Kluyveromyces lactis: one gene and its partners. The protein of the gene in region 4 interacts with the protein of the main gene of each other region in a pairwise test. Links are inferred from orthologs where the notes say so. Each region holds a gene or a part of one and is shown on either strand. Other genes may lie near its edges. The genes, in order: DRS1, RRP5, ERB1, NOC2, BRX1, NOP12 and RLP7.

Region 1 (4,190 bases), about 1.4 Mb from region 4:
CCAGGGTGGTTTAACCATATACAAATCTGGTGATGCAATGAAACAGAAATCAATCTTCCAATTGCTGGATGACCTTCTAGCCAGAAACCAATTATACATAGAAAACAGCCATAATGACGAGAGCGAGCAACAAAGCTTCAAATCTTTTCCGGAGGAGTAGAGGACTTGATTTCTTTATTGTTACGTCGAAAATGTCTCATGGTTTCGGACCCTTTGATTAATTGTCGTGATTTCATCAAGAATAATATAACACATTTCCATTACATAAGTATATAAACATGCAAAACTTTTTATTTTTGTGCTTCTAGATCTCTAAGTTCGATGCTTTTCCCTGGAACTTGAGAAGCTGGCTGGCTGGCACTGGCAGGTGCAGAATCGTCATCCACCATACCTTCGAAAAATGTGTCTTTCAACTCTCTCCACCTGGTAATCCAAGTCCCAAGGAAAATCAATATCAGTGTAGACAAAAATTGCAAGATAAACCATGCTAGTGAAGGGAATAGCCCTGTGTGTGTCCATACTACTACTAGATTTATAGCATGGATTGTAATGGCAAAATCCCACGCGAGTTTACTCCTTCCCACTATGATGGTCAAAAAAAAGACACAAATCAAGGAATCAATTAACCAAAGGGCTGATAAAGAAATACCAAAAGAGTTTGAGAAATCAATGTCCTGCCATGTAAACAACCATTGCTTTAGCTTTATTTCGTACCCACATATTTTCGCCCAGCAATAAAACAAAGTTGATGCAGTGAGATAATAGAACATTTGCAAGAGTATAATCTGAACGATTATTTTACCAGGGGACTGAGACTCTTGTTTGAAGATTTCAGTGGGTAATAGTTCTCTCGGAACACGCATGTATCGTCTAAGCGAAGCCATCTCCCTGATTGGTTGAAATGTCTCTAATCGGTCGCCTTTCTAAAACTGCACTTGGTACAGTTCAATTCTATCAAATATAACTGGTGCGAACAACCAAAAGAATTCACCGAATATTATAGGAGGAATGCAATAAGTAACGAAAGAGGACTAACTACTCAATTCTGTCTTTATTTTCAAGTCTCTCAAATCATGTCTCAATCACAACTCATCTTGGATTTAATATGTTGCTTAGAGATTCCGAACTAGTTTCCATGTTGACAACCAGTGGTTACCCTAACTTGACGATATGTTTTTCCTCAAAAGAAATTTTCCATGTTCAAGCTTTTCACATCTGGAATGGCGATGAGATGAGCTTGAGATGAGCTACGACAACTAGAATAACTTAGCAGTGAGTACTGTTCATTGTTCCTTATTATAACTTCTACAGGTGACATACTATTTATCTAGTGCTATTATTCTTCACTCATTTCTACTTTGCGAGAAAGAATAGAATTCTTGTTGTTCTTTGATTGAGTATTAAGGTAAGTGGAAAATAAAGAGATATACGGCATTCGTTAATATGGCTGTTAAGAAGTTTAGATCATTCGATGATTTTGTTCCTACAATTAGTGATAGCGAAGAAGATGTTCCAGATTTAGATGCTTCTGATGACGAAATGGAAAAGAAGCCAGTGAAGTCCTCAAAAACTAAGAACAAATCTAAAAAGAAGGCCAAGCAACAACAGGGATCTCACTTGGACGAAGATGTCCATGAAGATTTGAATCCAGAATTCCAATTCTCCATTGACAGCGGAGAAGTTACCACCAACTTTGCAGGCTGGGATTTCCAAGGTGATGAGAAGAGTGATGAAGTTGAGAAAAAAGATGTCGATCTAGATGGGATCATTAGAAGAAAAGGTGGTTTGATTATGATGGCTGCTACAGGCAGTGATGCCGAAGAAAGCCTATCAGAAGAGTCCGAAGAAGAACCAGAAGAAGGAGACGAACCTGGCGAGAGTGATGATGAAGATGAATTAGCTTTGGATGGGTTCGGTATGGGTGTCAAGAGAAAGGCAACAGAGGAAAATGAAGAAGATGAAGAGGATGAAGAAGAAGAGGATGACGACGAAGATGACGACAAAAAGACCGAAATGAGTCAGGCAGATTTAGGTAAGGGAAAAGACGAAGATGAAGACATTGAAGAAGACACTAAAGAAGAAATGGCTGAATTTTATGCTCCAGAAGAGGAAAGTGCGGATGCTAAAAAGATCGTTCATAAAACTTTCAACAGCTTGTCGTTATCCCGTCCTGTGTTGAAAGGGCTTGGAAGTTTAGGATACACCAGTCCTTCTCCAATTCAAAGTGCTGCTATTCCTATTGCCCTTCTTGGTAAAGATATCATTGCCGGTGCTGTTACAGGTTCTGGTAAAACAGCTGCTTTTATGATTCCTATCATCGAACGTTTGTTGTACAAACCTGCACATATTGCATCAACAAGGGTTGTTGTACTAACTCCAACCCGTGAATTGGCTATTCAAGTGGCTGATGTTGGTAAAAATATCGGTAAGTTTGTTAACGGACTAACGTTTGGTTTGGCCGTCGGTGGTTTGAATTTAAGACAACAAGAACAAGCATTGAAGACCAGACCTGATATCGTAATTGCCACACCAGGTAGATTTATCGATCATTTAAGAAATTCTGCGAGTTTCAGCGTTGATTCAGTTGAAATCTTGGTCATTGACGAAGCTGATAGAATGTTAGAAGAAGGTTTCCAAGAGGAACTACAAGAAATCATGTCTCTCATTCCAAGTAAGAGACAAACTCTGTTGTTTTCTGCTACAATGAACTCAAAAATTAAGCAATTAATCTCGCTATCTCTAAAGAAGCCTGTTAGGATTATGATTGATCCTCCAAAACAAGCAGCAGATAAATTGACACAGGAGTTCATCCGTATACGTAAAAGAGATCATCTCAAACCGGCATTATTATATCAATTGATTAGAAAGTTGGACAATACAAGCCAGAAGAGAATAGTAGTTTTTGTTGCTAGGAAAGAAACTGCCCATAAACTGAGAATCGTCCTTGGGTTATTGGGTATGCAAGTTGGTGAATTGCATGGTTCGTTAACCCAAGAACAACGTCTACAGTCTGTTAATAACTTCAAATCCTTACAAGTACCAGTCTTAATCTGTACCGATTTAGCTTCGAGAGGTTTAGATATTCCAAAAATTGAAGTGGTTATCAATTTCGATATGCCAAAAACTTACGAAATTTACTTACACAGAGTTGGTCGTACTGCCAGAGCGGGTAGAGAAGGTCGTTCAGTAACCTTTGTAGGCGAATCATCTCAAGATAGAAGTATTGTCAGAAGTGCGATCAGATCAGTGGAAGAAAACGCTGAAAGTGGAAAGGCCTTGAGTAGAAACGTTGACTGGACACAAGTCGAGCAAGTCAACAGCTTGATTGGAGCAAAGGGTGATGTTGTAGAGGAGATTATTGAAGAAGAAAAGCAAGAGAAAGAGATACTTAGAGCTGAAATGGAACTTCGCAAAGGTGAAAACATGCTAAAACACAAGGAAGAAATCAGTGCAAGGCCAAGAAGAACCTGGTTTCAATCAGAAGCTGAGAAGAAGAACTCTAAAATGCTTCAAGTTTTGGCAAAAAACAAAAAGCCAATCAACAGTAAGAAGAGAAAACAGCAAGAAGCATTGGCTGAGAATCCTCGGCTATATAAAAAGACACAAAAAGATCGTGTCGAATATCAGGAACGTCAATACAGCAAGAAGCAAGCTGCCTACGGAAAGAAGGGAAAGAAGGGTAAGAAATAAATTACTGTCCTATGTTCTTAGTTTTGGCTTAATTATCAATGCGCATGAAAATTCATTATATACTACATAAACGCAGTTGAGGTGTTATTACATAATCATCAACTCTCATTCGTAATATATACCCATCGAGAGTTGCTTTAGAGTTTCTGGATTGTAATAAAAGTCATCCGTTTCCTCCTCTGAGAAGGATTCCAGTGACTCATCATCTCTAAATTTATCATCAAGAGCAGCAAGTTGGACGTTCCTTCTTAATTTTATTAATGTATCGATTTGTTTCTCAGTTTCTGGTGATAATTTGGCGTGTTTACTTTGTGATAATAATTGTAAACCATCCAACCAGGTGTAGAAGCTCTCTGTACTCTCCAAGTAAAATGCAGATAAAATTTTCCCGTTTCTGTCAAAGGTGGTAACTTCTCTATAAATTGTGTTCTGAAGAATATTAATCAATCTAACACCTTCAGGAAGCTTTCTATCGAGTTCAATTTGCCTACTTTGAATGT
Region 2 (4,196 bases), on a different chromosome or scaffold from region 4:
GTGAATCATTTTTCTTGTACACACTTAATGGTGCCTTTTGTTCTTTGATATCTTCGAAACTGTCGAAAACTTCAGAAATACTGATACGACCATGTACATTATCAGCCAACGTAACGTTAAGCTGGTTCTTCTTAACTGATGTAATTGTAGCCTTTGTAACCTTACCGATAGTGAAGTCCGACAAATCTTTGATAGACTTGTCGACTGGGTTAATTACAGATGAATTGATCTTCTTAACATCGGTCTTTTGTTTTAAAATAGTCAATAAAAATCTTTCATGTTCCTCATCTGTTCTCAATAAATACACGGTCACGGATTGATTGATGTAGTATTTCTTATGAATATCAATATCTCTGGTTTCTGCTGCATAACTTGGTAAAACCAAACCGACAAATTTACCATTGAATGCAACAAAAACACCACGGTCAGAAACAGATTTAACGTAACCATGCATCGGTTCTGTTTTGTCTTTATTTTTGATGTCGGAAAAACTTAAAGGAAGGGTACCGTCTTCAGCATCTTTAATCAATGATTTTTTACAGGACATGTTGAACACATGAGTCCTGATGTCCTTGTCCAAAACCAAACCTCTAACTTCAGAGTTAATCTTTAACTTTTTCTGCGAAGCTCTGTTTTGTTCAATTCTATCATCTGACAAATGGCCGGTGTAAATAACACCGCGCAACCCTGAATCTTTAGATTCTACGATGACGGAATCTTTAGTCTTTTCAATAACAATTGCATCGATGATAGATTTACCGACAACTAAAGATTCAATAGCACTCTTTTGCTTGGAAGAAGACTCTGCTGAAATTTTACAAGAAGCAATAATTCTGTTTCTTTCGAAGTCATGATTCAAAATTTTAACCAAAACACTTTGTCCTAGTCTTAAGTGTTCTTGTGGTTTCTTTACAAATGCTTCTGAAATTTCTTTGTTTGGAACGAAAGCTTTGATATTATTAAAGAACGAGATAACACAACCATTAGGCTTGAATATTTCAACAGTACCAATTGTTTTCAATTCTTGACTTTCAACAGTCTGAATATCATCATTTTTGCAGACTAACGTCACAGATTCTTCGTCTGCATTTACAATAGACTTTTTCAATGTCACAGTGACACGGCCCACAGAATCGACATTGAGAACTCTACCTTTAACCTTTGAACCAATTTTGAATTTTCTTTCAGGATACACAAGTCTGGTATCAGATATGTGTAAGGGAGGAACAAATGCCTTAAATTGATCATTGAAAATTTTTAATTCAATACCTTTTCCTGACACTGTGACAATCTCACAAGCGCTCAAAACTTCGCCTGCTGGAATATCGGACGATCTTAGGTATTTGACATCAAGTAAGGCTGGATCAGACGTCAATGTGTAAAGTTTATCTACATTGTTATAGCCGAGTATTCTTGCTTTCACAGTTCCCGTTGGTTCAGTTTCTCCTGCCTTTGACAAATGAATTTGTCCCACCTGTTCATTGTTGATTGATACGTAGAAAAATTGACTATCCCTGCCTTTAACTGTGCAAGAATCGAAGATATAGCCAACGGGGAAAGATTCTAACGCTTCGGTCTCCTGTAATTTTGGATGCAATGAGATGATATGAGGTTGTGTGGAAACGACAGCAACTTTATCGCCGCTTTTCACTATAGTGGTTGCCAAAATTCTAGCATTGACTAAGTCACCAATGGAGTAGTGATGCTTCAAATCCTCTACCGTAAAGAAATTGGAATGTGGCAATGGCAAAAATGCAGTTATTAGACCGAAGGCTTTACCGATAACACCGTGATTTGTGATAGTTTGAGGTAAAAAGTCAATCGATTGACCCGGCACGATGGCATCTATGGAAGAGATCTTTTCGACCTTGGTGTTTTTACTGGCCAAATCCAAGTTGACATTTACAGTTCTACCAGATCTTTTCGTCACTGTAGCTAAGAACACCATACCTGGTAACAAAGAACTGAATTCAGGTATATCCTTCTTTGAGATAAAACCTGTTAAGTTCTCAATACCGATATCAAGAATGGCACCGTGATCTTCTATACTTTTCAACGAACACTGTAGTGGACAGTTTTTAGCTAAATCATCATCTTCAAACACGTTTACTACAGAGGGTTCGATGGATAAGTCTAACTTTTTGTTCTTGTTTGATTCTAAAGCGCTGTTATTTTGTACCATGCACCTCAACCATTGGCCTATTTTGAAATATTTATTGAGATCAGGTAATTCTTTAGGAGTTGTTATGTCGCTTTCATCATCTGAAGAATCGTATTCTGAGTCCTCATTTTTTTCATCATCGCTTTCCATGGATTCGTCCAAATTTTCCAAAATCTTGGTCATTTGTTCAGAGATATCTGTTAATGAGACGTAACCATGCAAACCGTCCACCAAAGATATTTTCAGTTCATGTTTGCTGATCGATTGGATTTGACCCAAGACAATGGTCCCTTTGGTCATTTGTTTCATTCCAAAATGCTCAATTAAATCAGTCTTGTCCTCTTTTTCTTCATCATCACCTGTGGTAATTTGATCAAAATTATTCTTAGCATTCTTCTTTTTCTTCTTCGTTGGGCCCTCTGCACCAGTAGCTGATTCATCCTTGCCAAATAAAACATCAGCAACCACTTCGTTACCAACCTGCTTAACTTCCAATGGGGATAAAGCAGAAGAACCACCTCTTGGAAATGAGATTTCCTCGGATTTACTCAATGCAGATTTGGCTGGTGCTTCGGTAGCATCCTGTCTTACTAAAGGAGACTCATCGTCTCTCTTTCTTTTACTTTGTGGAGCAACCATGTTTGTGATCTTTTTCGGTATTTAGATATGCCTGTTTTCAAAACAAATTACACCTAGCAATTTAGATGTAAACCTATGTTTTTCTTGAAGTGTCTTGCAAACTATTGAAGCTCCTGTTCCCAAGTTGTTGTTGTTTTTGTCTTCTGTGAAGATAGAAACCAATAAAGCCAATAGAAAGCACAAAGCAAAAAGAATTCAGAGAAAGATACAAAATATGTTATACCAAACTGTTTCCTGTTTGAGAAAGTAAACCAGACTTATCTTTACCAGAATTAAGAAAGTTGCACTTGGTTTCTAGAATCAACAAAGCTCAGAAATGTGTTAGCATACCAATACAAATGATCCAGCACTTAAGTAGCTAAAGCTCATCTCATCTCATCTCATCTCATCGCATCGATTTTTGAAAATTTTCAATATTAAAAAAAAGAAATCAAAACGACATAGACGAAATGTAATCGCGCCTTTGATGCAGTGACAGTTTAATAATGGAACGTTGTACAGATCTTCCGTTGTTATCACTGGAGTTTGTTTGAACCGTATCCACGGATTAGGGTCTTTTGAATGCATGACATACTTCTTAACTATTAAGGGCTTTTGTTAGCCAGTTATTCTATCTTCTTAAAGAGGTATAATAATTACATATCTGTAATGGTGGAAACCATGTAACTAAAAGGTTCTAGGGGAGTGATAAGAGTTTTGTTGGTCATGCTAAGAAAAATTTGTGCAATTACGAGTGGAATGCCTTCTATGGTAATAGTTTCAGATCAGACTATATGTTTTTTCTCTTTTTTGTTCAATTTCATTTCTAAAGGTACTTTCACAGCCGGAAATATTTATTATAAGGCATAAAAGCACCATCATATTACAGTCTAAAGCTGTTTCTGGCTCCTTTCGATCCATTTTCAGGGGCAGTCTATATATCTATCGAACTACGAGAGTTTTATCAACACAGTAAAGTTCCACATTGTAACGTGAGGTATCATTGGCCTGCCTTTTCTCCTATCCTTCCTTATGTATTATGTGTCTTGGTATGAAATTTCATTAAATCAATTATCTTCAATTTATCAACCTACATTCTCATATATATCAGAAACCTTTAAAAAGTAATATGGAGTGGATTCTATCAATAGATAAGGTCGACCAACGCACCTTTGAAGAGGGACTCAATGTCATCATTCGACAGCAGATTTACAGGAATACCCCATAGTGCGAATAAATCAGCAAGACCGTCCTTTTCTTCGACAAGGACGGGATCCAGCGCTAATACAACTACTTCATCAGCAATCTTGGAACAAAACAACACAGAACCATATTCTGGTGCTGCTGTAGAGACTGTACCAAGTTCTATCGTATCTTTCTATCATCCACATTCATTCCAATCTAGTGGTTATGGTGC
Region 3 (4,263 bases), about 2.4 Mb from region 4:
TATCAGCCTAGACAAAGACAAAAATCAGAATAATGACGGCAACTATGACGATGATGATGATGATGATGATGATGATGATGTTCTATATTCTTCGCATCACCAGCGGCACACGAATGAAATGTTGTCCACCACTGATACAAACATACGGCAACATACACAAAATGGCTACGCTCTGCCTAACGCTGAAGAGTTAGACGAATTGAGTAAAATTACGACCGTTGCCAGCACAACAAATAACGGTAATGATATCGCATCAGATGAGGAAATGGCAATGATGAGAGACATGGATACCTTTTGAGCTCTGATCCAAAGATAATAATGTATTCCCTTGAACACTAATTAGAAAGTATCTACTTGTAATATTGATAGGTAATGATGTCCATAGTATACAGTGTTTTACAAATATCCCGTCATGAGGGTTCTATCAGGTAGTCCACAAACGAGCGGTTTTGTCGGCACCTGCAGAGAATAGCCAAGCTTCACGTGGATGCCATATAGTATCTAGAACACCTAAACTATTCACAATCTTGTGGCCGGTTAGTTTCTTCAACGGGACGATCATAGGGTTCTTCATTAAATCGTCATAGACCGTGGCATGGAAAACATGGATGTTACCATCATCCGCAGCTGAGCAAAACAGTGGTAGTTTCTTGTGGAAACTTACGCTTCTTACAGCCTTCTCATGGTATCTCAAGGTCTTATATGGAGTGCTTGCAAGGTCAAGATCATGCCACAACACTCTCTTGTCAAACGAGGATGCAATTAAGTTATCACCTCTTGGGTGAATATCAATAGTAGATAACCAACGAGCACCAGGTAGAAGTTTCTTGATTAGCACTTGTTGCGATAGGTCATAAATTCTGACGTATCTTTGAGAACAGACCAAGAGCTGTGGCTTGAATGGATGGAATTTTGCATCCATAATGATACCCTTAGATTTTTTGAATGGCGATTGAGTTAAATGCTTGGATAATTGATGAATCAAAACTGATGTATTACCTGAGTCTGGTTGAACAGTGACAAAGTAATCACCTTTTCTATGCCATGAAAGCTTTTTCACTGATTTACGACAAGTTATTACGATACAAATATCATTGGCAGCTTGCCTTTCGGTTGGTTTATTCCATTGAGCAACCTGTTTCTTGACAGCATGTGATTCAGCACCGTCATCCTCATCATCGCTATTCACATTGAGATTACTCTTTTTGACGTTTCCGAAAGTATCGAAACCAAAACCGTATTCAATCTTTGATTTACCTGTGTTTTCAATTTCAAAGCCGAAAATTGGTGGAACAAGCAAGAAGATGTTTTCGCCAGCAGTAACCGCAAGGATACCGGTAGTACTGTCGGGATTCCATTCAACAACGTCTATGTGGTCATCATTGTTTTCTTCCGCATTAAGTATTGTGACTTGGTAAACTTCTCTACCTGTAAGAATTTCCCATACTCTGACAGTGCCATCATCGGAACCAGTAGCCAACCATAATCCAGTTGGATCAATGGACATTGTACGAATTTTTCCTTTATGACCGACATAAACGGTAGAGCAACGGATTGGAAATGGTCTCAAATCTTTTGTAGAGGGCAATTCTGGGATCAAAGATTCAGGATCAATGTTCAACTTATTTTTGCGAACACGAGGCGCTAAATACAAATCTAATGATCTTTCAAACCTTTCTCTGACAGATTCAGAGTAACCTGGAACTTTTCTTAATGCAGCGAATTTGTGAGGCACAAAATTTCTCTCTCTTTCACTTGGTTCCATCTTTTCCCATGCATCAATTTCCTCTGGGGTCAAAAGATACTCTTCCGGAGGGTTGTAAGACTCCTCATTTGTTGGTGGTGGCAATTTTGGGGCTCTCAAGTTCATAACATGTTCAGAGATTTCTTCGGCATCTCCCCAGAGATCGTAGTTATGACTGTCTTGTTCTTCTTTTTCTCTTAATTCCTTTAGTTTCTTTGGTGGGATAATTCTACCTTCTCTGATTGCTTTGACTATTTTCATCACACGCTTGGCTTCGTGCTTTGACGGAACGAAACGTCTTTTCGGTTCTGGGACGGCCGTAACTGGCATTACAGATTCGTGTCTAGTGAACCAGTCGATTAAAGGTTCGTATGGATTCACAGATTCGTCCGTCTGTTGATTATTTTGCAACTTATTGATTAATTCAAGTTCTTCTTCGGTCAAATTCAAAGAGGCACCGCTGTCTTTGTCTAGTAAACCTGTCCAACCCTCTGGCAATTCTATAGATTCCAATAATTGATCTAAAGCAGATCCTTTGGCTGGTCTCATTATTCTCTTACCATTAATGTCATAACCAATATGTGGCATTTCATCATATGCAGATAGTGGGATGTTACCAATTGTGTTCTTAGCTTCTGCATCACTATCATCACTATCATAAACAGGATTAATTTCTGACTTAAGAATTCTTGGTCTTCCATCTGAATACTTGGTACGAACAATGCCTTCATCGCTTGTTTCTGGAATCACTGTTAACTTTACATTTGACAATTTGTCGGTAATGGAAAAAGCATCGCCTTCTTCAGAAAAATCTGAAGTATTATACTCCTCCTCCTGTCCATTTTCTTCTTCAGCTAATAAGCGATTGAATTCAGCATCAGAGTCGTCATCTTCAGCTTCCTCAGCTTCATTTTCGCTAGCCTCTTCATCGATTAAACCATCAACTTCAATTCTTTCATCTTCAGAATCGGACAATTCAGATTCCTCGAGAACTCTCTTTTTTACAACAAGCTCCGCTGATTCAGAACCATTCAAAGAAGAATTCTTTCTGGCCATAGTTTCTGGTATTGTTTTCTGGCTCTCTATACTTTCAGAGCTTCTTCTGATGCCGTTAACTTTGAGAAGTACTGGTTATCTCTGTGGTCTATTCACTTCAGCTCATCTCATCTCATCTCTCAAGATGAAAATTGAAAATTTTAAGAAACAAAAAGAAAGAAAATTACGATACATTAATTACTTCTACAAAGTTTTGAACAAGAATGCTATTTTGAAAAAGTCAAAGTACCCTTCAGCAAAGATAGGGAACTGGTATTCAATCAACTCCACATATACTTCTACTTACGTTGAAGATATTTACTTTGGTCGCTAGCCTACAATGAATGTAATTCTTAACTCTTATTTTTTTTGCATCATAGACAGTTATCTTAGTTTTATTCTAGTAGATGCAACATCGTTTTCAAGTTTGTAATTTCATCATTGAAGAAGCTATTTCCAGTAAACTTCATTATTCCAATTTGGGGCGCTGATAAGAGAGACCTATTTCGTTTCTTCAGAAACTCTTAACGATGTAACATATACTCATGTAGTTCTCTCAGATCTTGTTGTGATATGCCTTGGATGATAGTTGATTGATTAATCGCCTGATGAGGGATCGTTGATATCAAACAATATAACGAATATAATATAATAATCTATTTAGTTAGATCGTTGAGTATATGCGTCCAACCTCCCCAAGAGGTCGCAACATAGCTCAGCCTTTTATACTCGACTTATATACTCGGATGGTCGTCAGACTTCGTCATGGCAACTCATTGCCTCCATGCCCTTGTAGGTCCTCTGCAGCTACCGTCCTCCACGCGCACTCAAGACCATCACGTGACCGTCTATGATCCATCTAGGCCATCCCTTCTGGATACCACAGGATCCATATGCCCAGTCACTGACGTCTTGGAACTCTGCCGTGTGCTGGCTAGCTCACATGACCTCTCGTCTGGCTTGTCTTCAGTCTATATTACGACAGACCTCACAAGATGGTTTCGTGGTCTAGTCGGTTATGGCATCTGCTTAACACGCAGAACGTCCCCAGTTCGATCCTGGGCGAAATCATTTTTTTCATTGAAAACTAGAAAACTTCTGTTCCACTGGACCTGGGGCAGCATGCCCTATGTTAGGTATGCAATAACAGGCAACTTCATATACGGTCAAGAGTTGTGATATCAATTGAGAGAATATAATTAACGAGTGTAACTACTTAATGAGTTAGAATACGCATGTCTTTGAAACTGAAGCGGCCAATTTTTCTAGAAATTCTTGGTCAAGCTTAGTAAACCCGTTGTAGTCCAAACAGTCAATATCGATAACACCTACTGTTTCGCCATTTTGGACTATAGGAACCACAATTTCACTCTTTGTCTCCCCATCACATGCTATATGCCCTGGGAAGTTTTCAACATCTGGTACTAATTGAGTTTGTTGACTAGACGCAGCAGTACCACACACTCCTTTACCAAATTGAATCA
Region 4 (3,893 bases):
AAGTTTGCATTATTTTCACTGCCCTTTTCAAAGCAAACTCTTTCTTCGTAAGATCTCGTATTTGTCGATCAAGATCGTTCTCTAACCTCCGGATCTCCTTTAAAAGTAACACACTACCCGTAGATCTTTCTTCAGGGTTTCTGCAAGATAACTTGGGCAAGATATCACTAAATGAATCATTCTCTTGAACTAAGGTTGTTTCACTATCACCTTCAAAATTCATGACATTCGACATAACGCCTGTAATGAGTACTGGTATAAGAATTATTCCACTTGGTCAAGTTATGCCTACCGCAGATTGTACTCCCGAGCTTTGTATTCTGAATGTAATGTTGAGTATACATGTTTAAAATAATTTACATAATGTAATTTCTATTTTCATGAAATTTACCGCCGATGTCTTTGACAAGGAGGCAATCCAATATAAGATGGTCGAAGACATAGGATTACCAATGAATTTAAAATTGAAGAAAGTTTGAACTTATCATACAATCATTTGATTATTCATCTGCTTCAGATTCAGCATCATCCATTACTATGTCTTGGGCTCCGTCAGAAATATTTTCTTCTTCTTCATCATCGTCAGATTCCAAGGATTCTCTTAAGAGTCTGGCCTTTTCTTCCTTAACCTCATTTTGGATAGCAACCCAGGAACCAAGAGGAGTATCTTTCCACGATATTTCATTTAAGAATTTTTCTACTTCTGTTCTGTTGTTTGGTCCGAAGTCTACATCTGATCTCTTCTTTGTAATGAATTGAGCGTTTTGGTTGATTTTATCTACCACGTTTTGCAACATCTTGTTAAACTTTACATTCTCAGAATTCTTGATATAACGACGTAATGAGATAACGGCAAGCGTTGTTAATTCTGGGAATGAAACGCTTCTGGAGTATAGAACAAAGTACTCACCTAGCAAATCTACAAATTGCTCAGCTAGCCCGTCTTGGTATATTTTTGTCCCCAAGTATGCTTGTGTACACTTGATGTTATGATCAAAGTCAAATGCAGGTAACGTTGACTTTCTAGGTTTCTTTGTGAATGCAGTAGAGGAGAGAATCTCAGATAATAATGGGTAAACTGGAATGAAGATACCAGTGTTTTGAGATAATCTGATCAAGGATCTGATCAAATAAAATCTCAATGGGAAAAATTGTGCTGTTGGAATCAATCTAATGACACCAATGGTAACTTGGACTAGTGGGTAAATCAATTGTCTAAGAGGGGATTCGTGGCCGTTTTCCTTTTCTGGGTTACATTGGATGGATATAACACGAGACCAGAAGTCCAAAGAGTGACAGAACTGCCAGTTATATACAATCTTGTAAGCACTTGATGGGTCCACCTTTGAGGACCTCTTAGTTGTGGCATTGATACTGTTTCTCAAGTGAATGGCTAGTTGTCTGATATATTCGAAACCCGATTGATAACTTATAACGTCATCAATACCGAAAAGTTCAGCAGCAGAGTTCTTTTGGAAATTGATTAGAGGCATGTTTCTGATGTTAGTTTTACGACAACTTTTAATGAAAGTAGAATACGTGGACTTCAATACAACTTCTAATAAAGCTTTCTTATATTCACGAGAGGCATTGTTCAAAAACGCGAATGTGGCAATTTGAGTTTCAACGTCTCCAGTAGTGGACCAAACTTCGACGACTTGAGAAATTAATTCTTTTAGTAATCTTCTAAATGAAATAAAGTATGGTAATAGCTCATAGGTAGAATGCAAAATCATTGAAGCGACGTCTGTGTTTGTGATGTCACTTAGGAGAACGATAAGAGATGGAACGTGCGATTTCAAAACAGAGGACAATTTTGTAACATTTTTATTTGATGGGAGAGTTCTGGTTTCATTCTTACTGACCCTATAAGGTGTCAATTTTTGGACGGCTTTTGGCATATCCACAAGGGCAACGAACATTAACTCGTGGAAGGCTTTTTCATCAAGAACTGTGAACTTGTAATCGTCTACATTTTCCTCGTTGTTCATGTTCACAGCAGCTTTAAAAGCTGAAACCACACTTCTGATAGTTTTGAAAGATGGGCTATTTTTTAAATCCTTCTTCCATTTATTTACGAGCTTTATGTCGACGGCAATTTTGCTATCTTTTTCCTCCTTCTTGGACTTTGATAAATCAGGTTCTTTCAGTTCTTCTTCTTCACCCACTTGCCCTTCTTCGTCATCTGATATTTCATCTAGAGGATTGGTAGATTTGAAAGACAAAAGATCTGGTTCGTTCTCTGCCAAATATTTGTAGAAATCAGGATCCTTCTTTGCCAAATCTTCCATATCCATTTTAACATCTTCATCTTCTTCGGCAGAAGACTCTGAATCATTATCTTTCACCTTTGATGCTTTTTCGGTTTCTTTAGCCATTTTCTTTGACATTTTTGGAATATCGAACCCATTGTCGAAGAACTCTTCAACCTTCATGTCGTTGAAGACTTCTTCCTTAGCGGACTTCTTCAACTTTTGATCTTCTTTGGTCAACGCAGCTGCATTCTTTTCTTCTTCTGTCTTATTACCCCTACGACCGGCGGTTCTCTTAGAATGATCTTTTAACTTCTTTCTATGGTCCAACGTATGCTTCAAGTGTTTCGTCTGAAACTTTTTAGTAGCTTTTGAAACTTTACCCATTGTGTAATTCTTGATCCCTTTATCAATAGGTAACAGGTCCCAAGATTATGCCTTTGATCAACAATATGATTTCAAGAAGATTATCTAGAGCGACTACTGGTTAAGTTGTTAGAGCTGCGTTAAAGTTTCTCTATATCTCTTCTTGGGGCATCTCATCTCATCTCATCTCATCTCATCTCATCGGATTGAATTTTGGTTTGGATATTTGGAAAACTTTTCATGGCGTTTCTTTTTGTATCCGGGTAATGGCATCGCCTTGACATCGATGAATAGTGCAAGTAATATGGTAATTGACATGCTTGGAAAGGTATCGACAAAAGATGCAACAAACTGCAAACAGAATGTCGAGAGATGCAACAGTTTTGAGCCGTTATTGATAAGAGTACTGAGGTATATGCATCAGAAAATAGTAGTAGTATTACCTTTTATGAAATCACGGCTCCAAGCTTTTAAGCAGTTTACTCGGTTTGTATCATGCAAAAGCTGTGGTGTTGAGTTGCAATCCAAGAATCCTTCTGTGACAGGCTACTATAAGCCTCCTCGCGCTGTCAGGAAAGATGCTGGCACCATTGAAGATTTGAAGTATTTAATGTTCACACAAGAACTTCAGCTAAAAAAACATGAAATCGGGCTACTTGATCCAGACACCGATCCAGATTATAAAGAACCTATTCCCAAAAGATTGGTTTGTAAAAGATGTGTCGATGCTATAAGTCATAACAGGTACAACTCATCTGATTTTCCAATTCATTCTTTCAACGATATAAAGGGCGCTTTGCCGCATGCTGCAAACGTATACCACGTTGTGTCTTTGTCTGACTTTCCCTTGTCATTAGACAAAACTATCCTGGCAGAAAAGAATAATAGAAACTATTTACTACTTTCAAAGGCTGATCAGATCACATACAAGTCATCAATGCTACCACATAAAGGGAGTGCTTTTTTTGCGGAATTTTGTAGACGTCATATAGGCGTACATGTTAAGAAAGTAGTATTGTTCTCTAACCCAAGAAATTGGAATATTCCATCAGTGATAAATGCTTTGGCTAAAAGATGCTATTTATTGGGTAATCCTAACGTTGGGAAAACGTCTCTCATTAATTCTTTGCTCCATGAAAAATCAACAAGTTTCCAAGCTCAACTTGATAAGAGAGGCAACGTTATTGGTCCTCCAAAAGGCCACGAACAAATACAAAGTACTCGCCGTAGGGCCATCTTCAATGAAGGTGGAGTATCACATATTCCCAACTTTAC
Region 5 (2,892 bases), on a different chromosome or scaffold from region 4:
AAAGTCAGGACATTTTTACTTCCTTATTAATTCTACCCACTTGACTGTTCAATTCACGTTTCCTGAAAATTATACAGTATGATTTGTTATTACTACGCATAACATCTTCGTATTTGGGGAATAGAAGAATGCAATGGCATTGGGCAAGTAAAATATTAATAAATCTATTAAAATTCAAACAAATGATAAAAAAAACATTTCAAACAGCACACTGTGGTTCACACCAAATGTAAAAACGTTTTCCCCATGACGTTTCATGACGCTTCAAGTTTAACTGGTATTCTGGCCCCCCAAGTTAACTAAATAAATTAAATATTCATGTACGACTTTAACGTATAGTATAGTTAGGAATAAAACGAAAAATTATATTATCAAAAACAGCCCATTCAAAAGCATATATATAGGAGTATACATATGTACAAGTCTGAGCAGGAAGAACGCCGTTCTCCTAAGTTGACAATATATAAATCATGATTTTTTCTAGAGTTCTGGATTGTACTTTAATCTTTGAACAATGCATCGTTGGATAATGGATCTACAGCCAAGACACTTTCTCTCTTCTTTAGTTTCCTTTCAACAGCAGCTTCGGCTCTGGTCTTAGCTTCCTTGGCAGCCTGTTGTTTAATTTGAGATCTAACGAAGTTTGGCGATACGTATTGTCTGTTTTCGTAGATCTTTGGACCACCAAATGAACCTTCAAGGATCAAAATCGGTGTCATCACGAAACGTGGGCCAATTTCAACTAACGACGTTTCATCTTCTTCTTTATCCTCATATTCAACGTTGTTCCTAGCTTCATGCGAGATCTCATACGTTCTTACCCAGATCTTTTCGTCAACTATACTGAAAGACATGATATGGTCAATGAATGGCTTGGACTTTCTAGCTTGAGGTGGTACACCGAAGTTATGGATAAAAAGTTCTTTAATTAAACGGTAGTGCGGTTCAGAATCAAATCTACCATCAAATGACAATATTGGTCTGGATCCCTTCAAACAGTTGCCAGTGAAGTTTAATTCGTCCATGGTATGTAGGTTCTGCAAATAAAACTTGATTGTTGGTCCATTTGGTGGCTTTGATAGCCATAGGTACAAATCCTGGTGCTTTCTAGCTTCAAAGAATATAATGTTATTACAGTTGTACAATTCCGCAATCTCATTCAATTGTCCTAGATCCTTCTTCGTGTCCAACTTAGGTTCCTTTCTCGAATGTGGTAGAAGACTGTTCAAATCCTGAACCAAATGACGATGTCTATAAGTAACACCTCTGGACGTAATAAGTAAGGTACGTTGCTTATTCATGAACTGTTTCTCATTACTGTCACTGTTAGCCGCATTATTTTTGTTCTTCTTACCGTCTTTATCCTTACGAGACAAAGTCTTGAAAATACTCGACATTATAGAAGGATTTGCTTAGCAGTTCTTGGCTTTTTCTTCCTTCCAACTACTCAAGTGTAATACAATAATCTCAAAGTGTTTAGACCGACGATGTATAGATTGGAAGGATCAGGACAACCTTGTTCAATACCTCTTCTCATCTCATCTCATCTCATCTCATCTCATCTCATCGCCTTTTCTAACTTTTCAAAAATTTTCAATGTACCGAAAAAGAAACTAAGGCTCATCAGTGATGATTTAAAATAGAAAAGGATAGTTTCTCGAAAAGAAAATGTTCGTATCGTCTGCCAACTGGCTTCTATCAGATTCAACGCGGGTGGGGATTGTATGGTGAGGTCTTGCGTTTATATTTCAAGCAGTAAGAGCGCTGATGCCCTTGTTAGGCTGTGCCGTTTACATTTATGGATACACATACAGTTATAGTTTATTATCCGGGTAATCAAGACTGAAAAATTACGATATTGGCTTAATTCAGCATTCAAACTTCTAATGAACAACCTCATACGCACGTCGTTCGTAGAACAACCCGGTATGTCTGGCAGTAACGGTGTTCGTTGCTGTTTGATCTGTTAGATTTGATATCGACCAACACGAAGAGTGGAAACTGTTGATATGAACTCTGAAGATCATCAGCTTTTTCAGCTATTAGATAGGGAACTGTTTAAGAAAGCTTCACAGTTTGTTGCATCATTGCAGAAACGGTACCCATCCGCCACTTATTACAAAGTGTTAGAGCAATATGTCAAGTACAGGCAATCTCCTGCGAAATATAGTTTTGAAAATGGGTTAAAGTTGATCTTGGATGCCAAATCTCCTCCAAGCGATGCGAAATCGCTATCAATGTGCCATCGATTTTTGTTGGAATTAGGTTTTGACACCACCAGTGCATTGGAACCTTATGAAAGAGCAATGATGAAATACGGTAATTCGGAGACATGTTATGATTGGTTCTTGGAGTCATTGAGGGATTTAAATTGGAGACATTTGAGTAAGAGTAGTTTCCAGATGCCACGAGTCAATGAAAAATCGAAATCGAGATTGTTCCAATTCTGGAACAGTATTGCTACTGTAGTATGGTTTCAGTTGGATAAAGATAACATTAACGAAAGGGAATTGGATCTTTTACCTAAGTTGACATATAAATTGACAAGCGATTTGAAACCTTTTGAGAATGAGCAAGAGTTGATCGTTTTCTGTAAAGTTTGTGAATTGTTTGAGGATAAATCACAGGAGATCGTGGACGAGATCCTCAAGTTTTGGAAACATGGTACTTACTTAGACCTTTATTTGAAAAACTTCCTTATGGGCCATTTGGTGAAATTAGACGATTATAAACTCATTTGGAAACATGGAATCTCGTTATTGAATAACCTTGACGATTATGGTATTTTGCAAAAGATTATAGATGCAAGTTACAAACTTGGCAAGTCATTCGATGAGTTATTGGAAGTTTTGGAAATCAAGAATACGAGAAATTACATACTAGCAAGAGTCG
Region 6 (3,031 bases), about 630 kb from region 4:
CAAATCAAGTGTATGGTTTATATGTTTCTTAAGTTTTATGTTATCATTTTTAGATGGTTGCATGTGAAGGACATCCATTAACCTGTCTCTCTCATCCACAATCTCTATTAATTTATCGATTTCATATTCGACCTTCAAACCATTCATTTTTTTATATCTATCGTCCCTCTTTCTCTGTAGATAATACGCCTAACATTAAGCTTCGCATAGGTGTTGGCTGCGTTAGGTTACGAAATGCCACTTATTTTTAACACGAGCTGTCTCTTATGCCAACGAATCACATTTAAGGTTCTCCGGTATATAGCATAAAATATCGAATAGTCAAAGAATTAATAGGACAAAAGAGATTACCCGGAACAATAATTGACAGTAATTCCCCAGTTGAAGCACCAAGACCAATTGCAAGCCAAATCGGAGATACAACAAGTGTCTGTCTTATTGAAAAGTTGGATTATTTATCCATATGTACACTATACTATAATTGTTAAGGTTGTGCTCCATTATTGAGCATTTTGTTTCTTAAAAGCTATCGAACGCTTAGTAACTCTTCCTGTCTTTGATCTGTTCTTTGTTCTTTTTAGTACAGGGGTGGTTTCTCCCTTTGAAGCTCTTAAACCCTCAATTGTCAACTCTTCACCTAGCTTAGCCCTATCAGCCTTACCTAACACCTTCTTAGCTCTTCCCAGTTTTGTCCTTTGTTGGTCGTTTAATTTATTATTTTGTAGGGAAGATTGGTTTCCTTGGGCCTTTCTCATATTCTTGCATCTAGAAATTCTTAGCTTTCTGGCCTTCTTACCTTCATGGATCTTCTTTTCATGTAGTAGTAACGCTTTACTCACTGATTGGAAGTCCTTAAATTGAACGTATGCGAAACCTTTACCCATGTTCGTCTTTGAATCACGAATAATACGAACATATTCAATGTCACCACAAGGTTCAAAGTGCTTCCAGAGACTTTCTTCCACTTCTTCAAAATCCAAATTACCCACGAAGACTGATCTTCTCTTATCATGTGGGGAGGGGTGTGTAACCGAATCCACTCTCAAATGATGGTCGTTGAACACTTTACCGTTCAGATATTGGCACATAATCTTGACCGGATTGGAGCTCCCATATACGGCATATGCGTTGATCGAATCTCTAGATTTGTGAAGCTTTTGATGAACAAATGCAACTTTTCTTGGCAATGCTTCTTCGAATGCAATGGATCTGAATCTGATACTTTCCACATTAAACTTAACATCTTTTGTCTTACTTTCTTCTTCTTCTTCGTCTTCTTCTCCGTCATCGTGGTCATCATTCTCGCTACGGGGATCCTTGGAGAGAAGTTTCTTAAATTCTTTGTAAACTTTCTTTGATGTGATAACCTCATTTGGTACATTCCCAATAAAAATTGTTCTCTCAGCCTTGGCTAGTTCCTTTTCTTTCAAATTGATAACTTTAGCAGATTCAGATTCCGTGCCGGTAATCGAAGACTTATCGACTGCAGTTGCTTCATCTTCATTATCACTATCGGAAGAGTCGTCCTTAGGTTCATCCTTAGGTTCATCTTTAGATTTAGAATCACCTAATACCTTAGAATAATATTGAACTTCCAAATTATCATTCTCTTCATCATTCTTCTTGGTCTTCTTCTTTTTCTTCTTCGGCTGTTCTTCCTGTTCTTCCTGTTCTTTCTCTACTCCTTCGGAGACAGTAGAAGCACTTTCCTGGACATTCTCTTCTTCTTGTTCATCCTTATCCTGTTCAGGCTCAGTTAGCACAGTCCTAGCTTTCGACTTTACTTTACGCTCATCGACATGATTAGGTTTGGAGAATAACGCTGCAATCGATGATGTACCTGCCGCGTCTGATTTGGAATTTCCAAATAAATTGTTCAATGCGGACATCCCGTAATATAATTTTGGTTTGTTATGTTTGAAAGACCCTGGTTCACCAACACAAACGTTATTCCTCTGCACTAAACCTGCTGGTGGCTGTCCAAGTCTCTTCGATGCGATGAGCTTTATCCATTTGTCTGTTGAATTATCGAAAGTGAAAAACCTGCACTTCCTAGAAAAGCCAGCAGAAATCATGAATTTACCACCAAAAAGAAATGCGGAAGAAAAGCGTACGCTCTATGGACAAATCGAATGTATCGTAGTCACGTGATTAACACCGTGGAATGTACTATATGGCCGGGTAACATCATGTTCCTTTTCCTTAAAAAACGTACAAACTGTAAATAGTGCTGAAATGCCGAAATATAAGTTAAGAATAAAAATACAGTCTGATTTTAGCATGAACATATAGTTATGGCCAGTCAGCAATCAATACATAGATCTCATCCAAACGTGATTTAAAATATTGTGTACTACTAAGAATAGAGAGAGATAACTGTTTTGCTAGTAAAAATAAGAATTACGCGAAGTAAGGTATATTTGCAGCCCTTTGTTTTAGTGTGTCAGGTATCAACTTTCAATCTATTCAAGCAGCAATTCTTAACTTATACTGCGCATATTAAACGGTTTGCTGGTTAAATTTTGTGTGTTTCTGCATTGGAGTATAAGCTAAGTGTTTTTTCTTTGCCATCAGCCGATTGGAGTAATACAAAGGTTGTATTGGTTATATGCGTTGGGATTTCTTTCTTTTTGAATTCAAACGGTACTATCTTTGAATCATTCAAATGGAGCCAGAGAGAAACAAAAATAACAGTGTAGAGGCTGCGAGTGAGATTGACGATCATAATACCAGATCTGCCCCCACTACGAAACTTACCAAAGAAGTTTTAGAGAAGATTGCTTCGGATTCTGATTCTGTTAATTTTAACGCAAATAGTTATTCAAGGAAATCGAAATCAGGGAGTCCCTCAAAGGTTGGTACATTAGAATACGACGATAACAGTACCAGTGGATTATCTAAGGTCACTTCTCCAGAACATCCAAACTCAGTCTCTCTATCGGACATATACATCTCATCAGACGCTGAGACCGAAAAGATGGATTTAGAAGAGGACGAATCACGTGTCAAACTATCGGAAATGGCATCCAAT
Region 7 (2,817 bases), on a different chromosome or scaffold from region 4:
TGTAGTGTGGGATACTTTTTACTTCTTCAAATAGGTATCAACAATAAAAATAAATCGAAGCAAATGTAGGAATGCGTTAAAGCAGATGTACTTACTTAGAGTACATAGATATATTTATATAATTCAATATATAAAAGTATATGAAGCATCTGATGTTGAACCTGTCATGACTCTAAACTGGAATGGGTAGTTATGCTTCTGAAGGTTTTCCGTTAGAAAATGAGTGCAGGGATCAGGCCCGGAACCGGTTTTAGCCTGAAAGGAAAAGAAAAAAATGCGGTGATTACTAGCACGTGACTGCGCTGAATTGGAATCCACCACAAGTACAGCGAATGGCAAGAGGGAAGGGGAATATATTGTGCCTGGCGGTAGCGTCTGCTATATCAAATGTTAAACATAACTAAATGCAGTAGTGAATAGAGTAATGTATTTCTACATATGTGGGTAGGGCCAATGGGAGCCCGATGTCTATTGTACAGATATTTTCCTTTTATAGTTAATCAATTCAACTTGGAAATCATTGAGTCGATATCTACTTGGATAACTGGAGCCGTGGCAGCGTTTGAAATTTGACGAGTCTTCTTGTTTTGTTCGCGCATTTTCAGTTTATTCAAACGGGAGATGGCACCGAATCCACTGACTTCTCTGTTCAATTTGAATGGTAATAGGAAGAAAGTACATTTCGAGAAATTTTCGCCCAACGTCGAAATCTCATGGATGATATCCTCGATACAAATGACACCTTCATCACCTAATTTCTCTTCAACGATATTGTTGTCATTCAAGATTATCTCTTTTGGTTCTTTATCTTCTGGCCTTTGCCACATTATTCTAGATCTCTTTTGGATTAAAGAACGGATAGATGCAAGTGAAGGTTGTCCGATAACAATATATGGTGATACAAGTTTCAACAATGGGTACACGTCCTTGGTAAGTTTGATGAAAACACCAGTGTTCAACTCAACAAGTCTCAAAAGAGATAACACTTTGTAAGCCTTTGCTGGGATCTTCACAGCTGTGGGTCCTTTCACTCTTATAACAAATAATAAGCTTGGCTCACCATCGTATACGATTTTTTCCCTGATTAACCCATCGTCCTCTTCATCTTCCTCATCAACATCTTGAAGCTCAGATTCGGATGTAGCCTTACTACCGGCTTCTCTTTCAGAGATACGCAAGATAAAATCCCTATCGGATGGGATATGTGACAAATCGTTCTTGACCTTTTGGTTTTCTAAGTCTCTGACTCTTCTGATTCTGGTCTTTTCTCTCTCAGTAGCCAAAGTTGTGGCGACTATCGTCTCAGCTCTAACAAATCTGTTCTTCTTACTACGTTTCTGTTTCTCTTCTTGCTCCTTTCTCTTCTTGGCAAGCTCCTGCTTCTCCAACCTAGTACGATCAGCATTTCTTCTCTTTCTTAAAAGAACCTCTGGGTTCGAGTTCAATGGTTGTGACATTTGTTGCTTCTATATTACTGCCCTGTTTATTAATCTCAGCACAAACCAGCTCTATATAATACAACTTATATGCTCCTAATACTTCAGATTAGCCAAGGTCATCTCTCATTGAAAGCTTTATTCATAATCTTTAATTTCATCTCATCGCATCTCATCGCACTGAACTTTTTTTTCCTCGCCAAAAAAATTTTCTGTAACGAAAAGAAACACTTCCAGTCACGTGAACTGTGAAACCAAGATCTTCTGTTTGACACTCAGACAAGTAGATGATCAATTACAATTACAATTACAAGCTGACCTCGAATAGGGTACTGGCAAGTTGGCGTTTACCTGGGATGATCTGTTGCTGCAGCATGGTGTACCCCAGCAAGATTCTTCAGAATTAAATGGGAACATTTCGGAAAGTTACCCAAAGAATGGGAAGCAAGTTAAATAGTCAAATAGTCAAATTGTGACTGTCTATATGTGAATCGTATATACAGAGACGAATTTTCAAGCAGTTTCCCCTATCTACCTGCTGCAGGAACTAGCACTTCTAACCGGCAGTAAAGTTTTCCGTATCAGCTCATGAAATCGTTATATCTTGGCTTTTGACACTGGCTTTCGAGGTGGCTTTAGGAGTCTCGAAATGTGTGCCCACAGCAGTGTTTCCTTCGAAACCAGCCGTGGCTCCATTCTTTGTACCATCTATGCCGCTCTCTGTTTCGAAACAACCGTGAGATCAACTGTGGTTCAAGTTCTCAACACAGAACAAGTAAGAAAAAAAAGAAATGGGAAAAGGTCCCTCGAGAGGAAGAATGCTGAAAAGGCAGAGAAGGAACCTCAGAGCAAAGTCCGCCCTTTATCATAAATCGGCGGTCTTTTCTTACAACAGAGATCCCAGTGGGGCGGCTCGAACGACGGAAAAAATTTCGAACGATTTAACCGTGAACGCATGCCTGTCCCTAAATTGTAGGACGTTTTCCTCGATTTAAATTCCAAATCACTGAGCGATACCGCTGACAGCACTGGAATTATGCTACTCTTAAGTTATATTTTTCCCTTCGCTCACGTGATTCTAGGAAGATAGTAAATACACTGTGCCGTTTGTTGAGCTACAGCGTGAACAGTAGGAAATGTACTTCCACTACGGGCTGACTAAGTCCACGCTCGAAGGAATAAAAATCACTTCGAGTGTCTTATGTTTTTCTTTTCTATCAAAACGACAAGTACGATAAAAAAACCGGCATGAAAATCGAGTAGTGGTTATCAGAATGAACATTGCAGGACCCGCGCTGAACCCAAAAGTCGACTTTCTTGATTCTTAATTGTAATCTGACTCTTTGAATGCTTTGAGCTTCGAAATTCCTTTTTTTTTTCT

The links.
Region 1: the proteins of NOC2 (region 4) and DRS1 interact in binary tests that used the Saccharomyces cerevisiae proteins (3 or more experiments, as listed by UniProt). The link is inferred for Kluyveromyces lactis from reciprocal best matches to the Saccharomyces cerevisiae genes NOC2 and DRS1.
Region 2: the proteins of NOC2 (region 4) and RRP5 interact in binary tests that used the Saccharomyces cerevisiae proteins (3 or more experiments, as listed by UniProt). The link is inferred for Kluyveromyces lactis from reciprocal best matches to the Saccharomyces cerevisiae genes NOC2 and RRP5.
Region 3: the proteins of NOC2 (region 4) and ERB1 interact in binary tests that used the Saccharomyces cerevisiae proteins (3 or more experiments, as listed by UniProt). The link is inferred for Kluyveromyces lactis from reciprocal best matches to the Saccharomyces cerevisiae genes NOC2 and ERB1.
Region 5: the proteins of NOC2 (region 4) and BRX1 interact in binary tests that used the Saccharomyces cerevisiae proteins (3 or more experiments, as listed by UniProt). The link is inferred for Kluyveromyces lactis from reciprocal best matches to the Saccharomyces cerevisiae genes NOC2 and BRX1.
Region 6: the proteins of NOC2 (region 4) and NOP12 interact in binary tests that used the Saccharomyces cerevisiae proteins (3 or more experiments, as listed by UniProt). The link is inferred for Kluyveromyces lactis from reciprocal best matches to the Saccharomyces cerevisiae genes NOC2 and NOP12.
Region 7: the proteins of NOC2 (region 4) and RLP7 interact in binary tests that used the Saccharomyces cerevisiae proteins (3 or more experiments, as listed by UniProt). The link is inferred for Kluyveromyces lactis from reciprocal best matches to the Saccharomyces cerevisiae genes NOC2 and RLP7.

Annotation. Positions count from the first base shown.
Region 1 is NC_006042.1:1,453,292-1,457,481, forward strand, and holds DRS1 (putative ATP-dependent RNA helicase), read left to right. Parts: upstream 1-1,443; coding exon 1,444-3,690; downstream 3,691-4,190. Other genes in the region: CYR1 (adenylate cyclase), read left to right, coding at 1-160; SYS1 (Sys1p), read right to left, coding at 291-884; LMO1 (Lmo1p), read right to left, coding at 3,796-4,190. UniProt on the Saccharomyces cerevisiae protein: ATP-binding RNA helicase involved in ribosome assembly.
Region 2 is NC_006038.1:728,454-732,649, reverse strand, and holds the start of RRP5 (Rrp5p), read right to left. Parts: upstream 2,801-4,196; coding exon 1-2,800. Other genes in the region: YPK9 (putative acid anhydride hydrolase), read left to right, coding at 3,967-4,196.
Region 3 is NC_006042.1:2,460,413-2,464,675, reverse strand, and holds ERB1 (ribosome biogenesis protein ERB1), read right to left. Parts: upstream 2,801-4,263; coding exon 425-2,800; downstream 1-424. Other genes in the region: CSM3 (Csm3p), read left to right, coding at 1-298; KLLA0_F26587g (L-methionine (R)-S-oxide reductase), read right to left, coding at 4,004-4,263.
Region 4 is NC_006042.1:102,265-106,157, forward strand, and holds NOC2 (mRNA-binding ribosome synthesis protein NOC2), read right to left. Parts: upstream 2,640-3,893; coding exon 501-2,639; downstream 1-500. Other genes in the region: MEI5 (Mei5p), read right to left, coding at 1-235; GEP3 (Gep3p), read left to right, coding at 2,905-3,893. UniProt on the Saccharomyces cerevisiae protein: Involved in the intranuclear transport of ribosomal precursors.
Region 5 is NC_006041.1:1,577,239-1,580,130, reverse strand, and holds BRX1 (ribosome biogenesis protein BRX1), read right to left. Parts: upstream 1,398-2,892; coding exon 501-1,397; downstream 1-500. Other genes in the region: MDM20 (Mdm20p), read left to right, coding at 2,010-2,892. UniProt on the Saccharomyces cerevisiae protein: Required for biogenesis of the 60S ribosomal subunit.
Region 6 is NC_006042.1:734,389-737,419, forward strand, and holds NOP12 (rRNA-processing protein NOP12), read right to left. Parts: upstream 1,890-3,031; coding exon 501-1,889; downstream 1-500. Other genes in the region: SYN8 (syntaxin), read right to left, coding at 1-147; Rpd3L histone deacetylase complex subunit DEP1, read left to right, coding at 2,666-3,031.
Region 7 is NC_006040.1:418,075-420,891, reverse strand, and holds RLP7 (Rlp7p), read right to left. Parts: upstream 1,458-2,817; coding exon 501-1,457; downstream 1-500. UniProt on the Saccharomyces cerevisiae protein: Involved in the biogenesis of the 60S ribosomal subunit. May act as a specificity factor that binds precursor rRNAs and tethers the enzymes that carry out the early 5' to 3' exonucleolytic reactions that generate the mature rRNAs.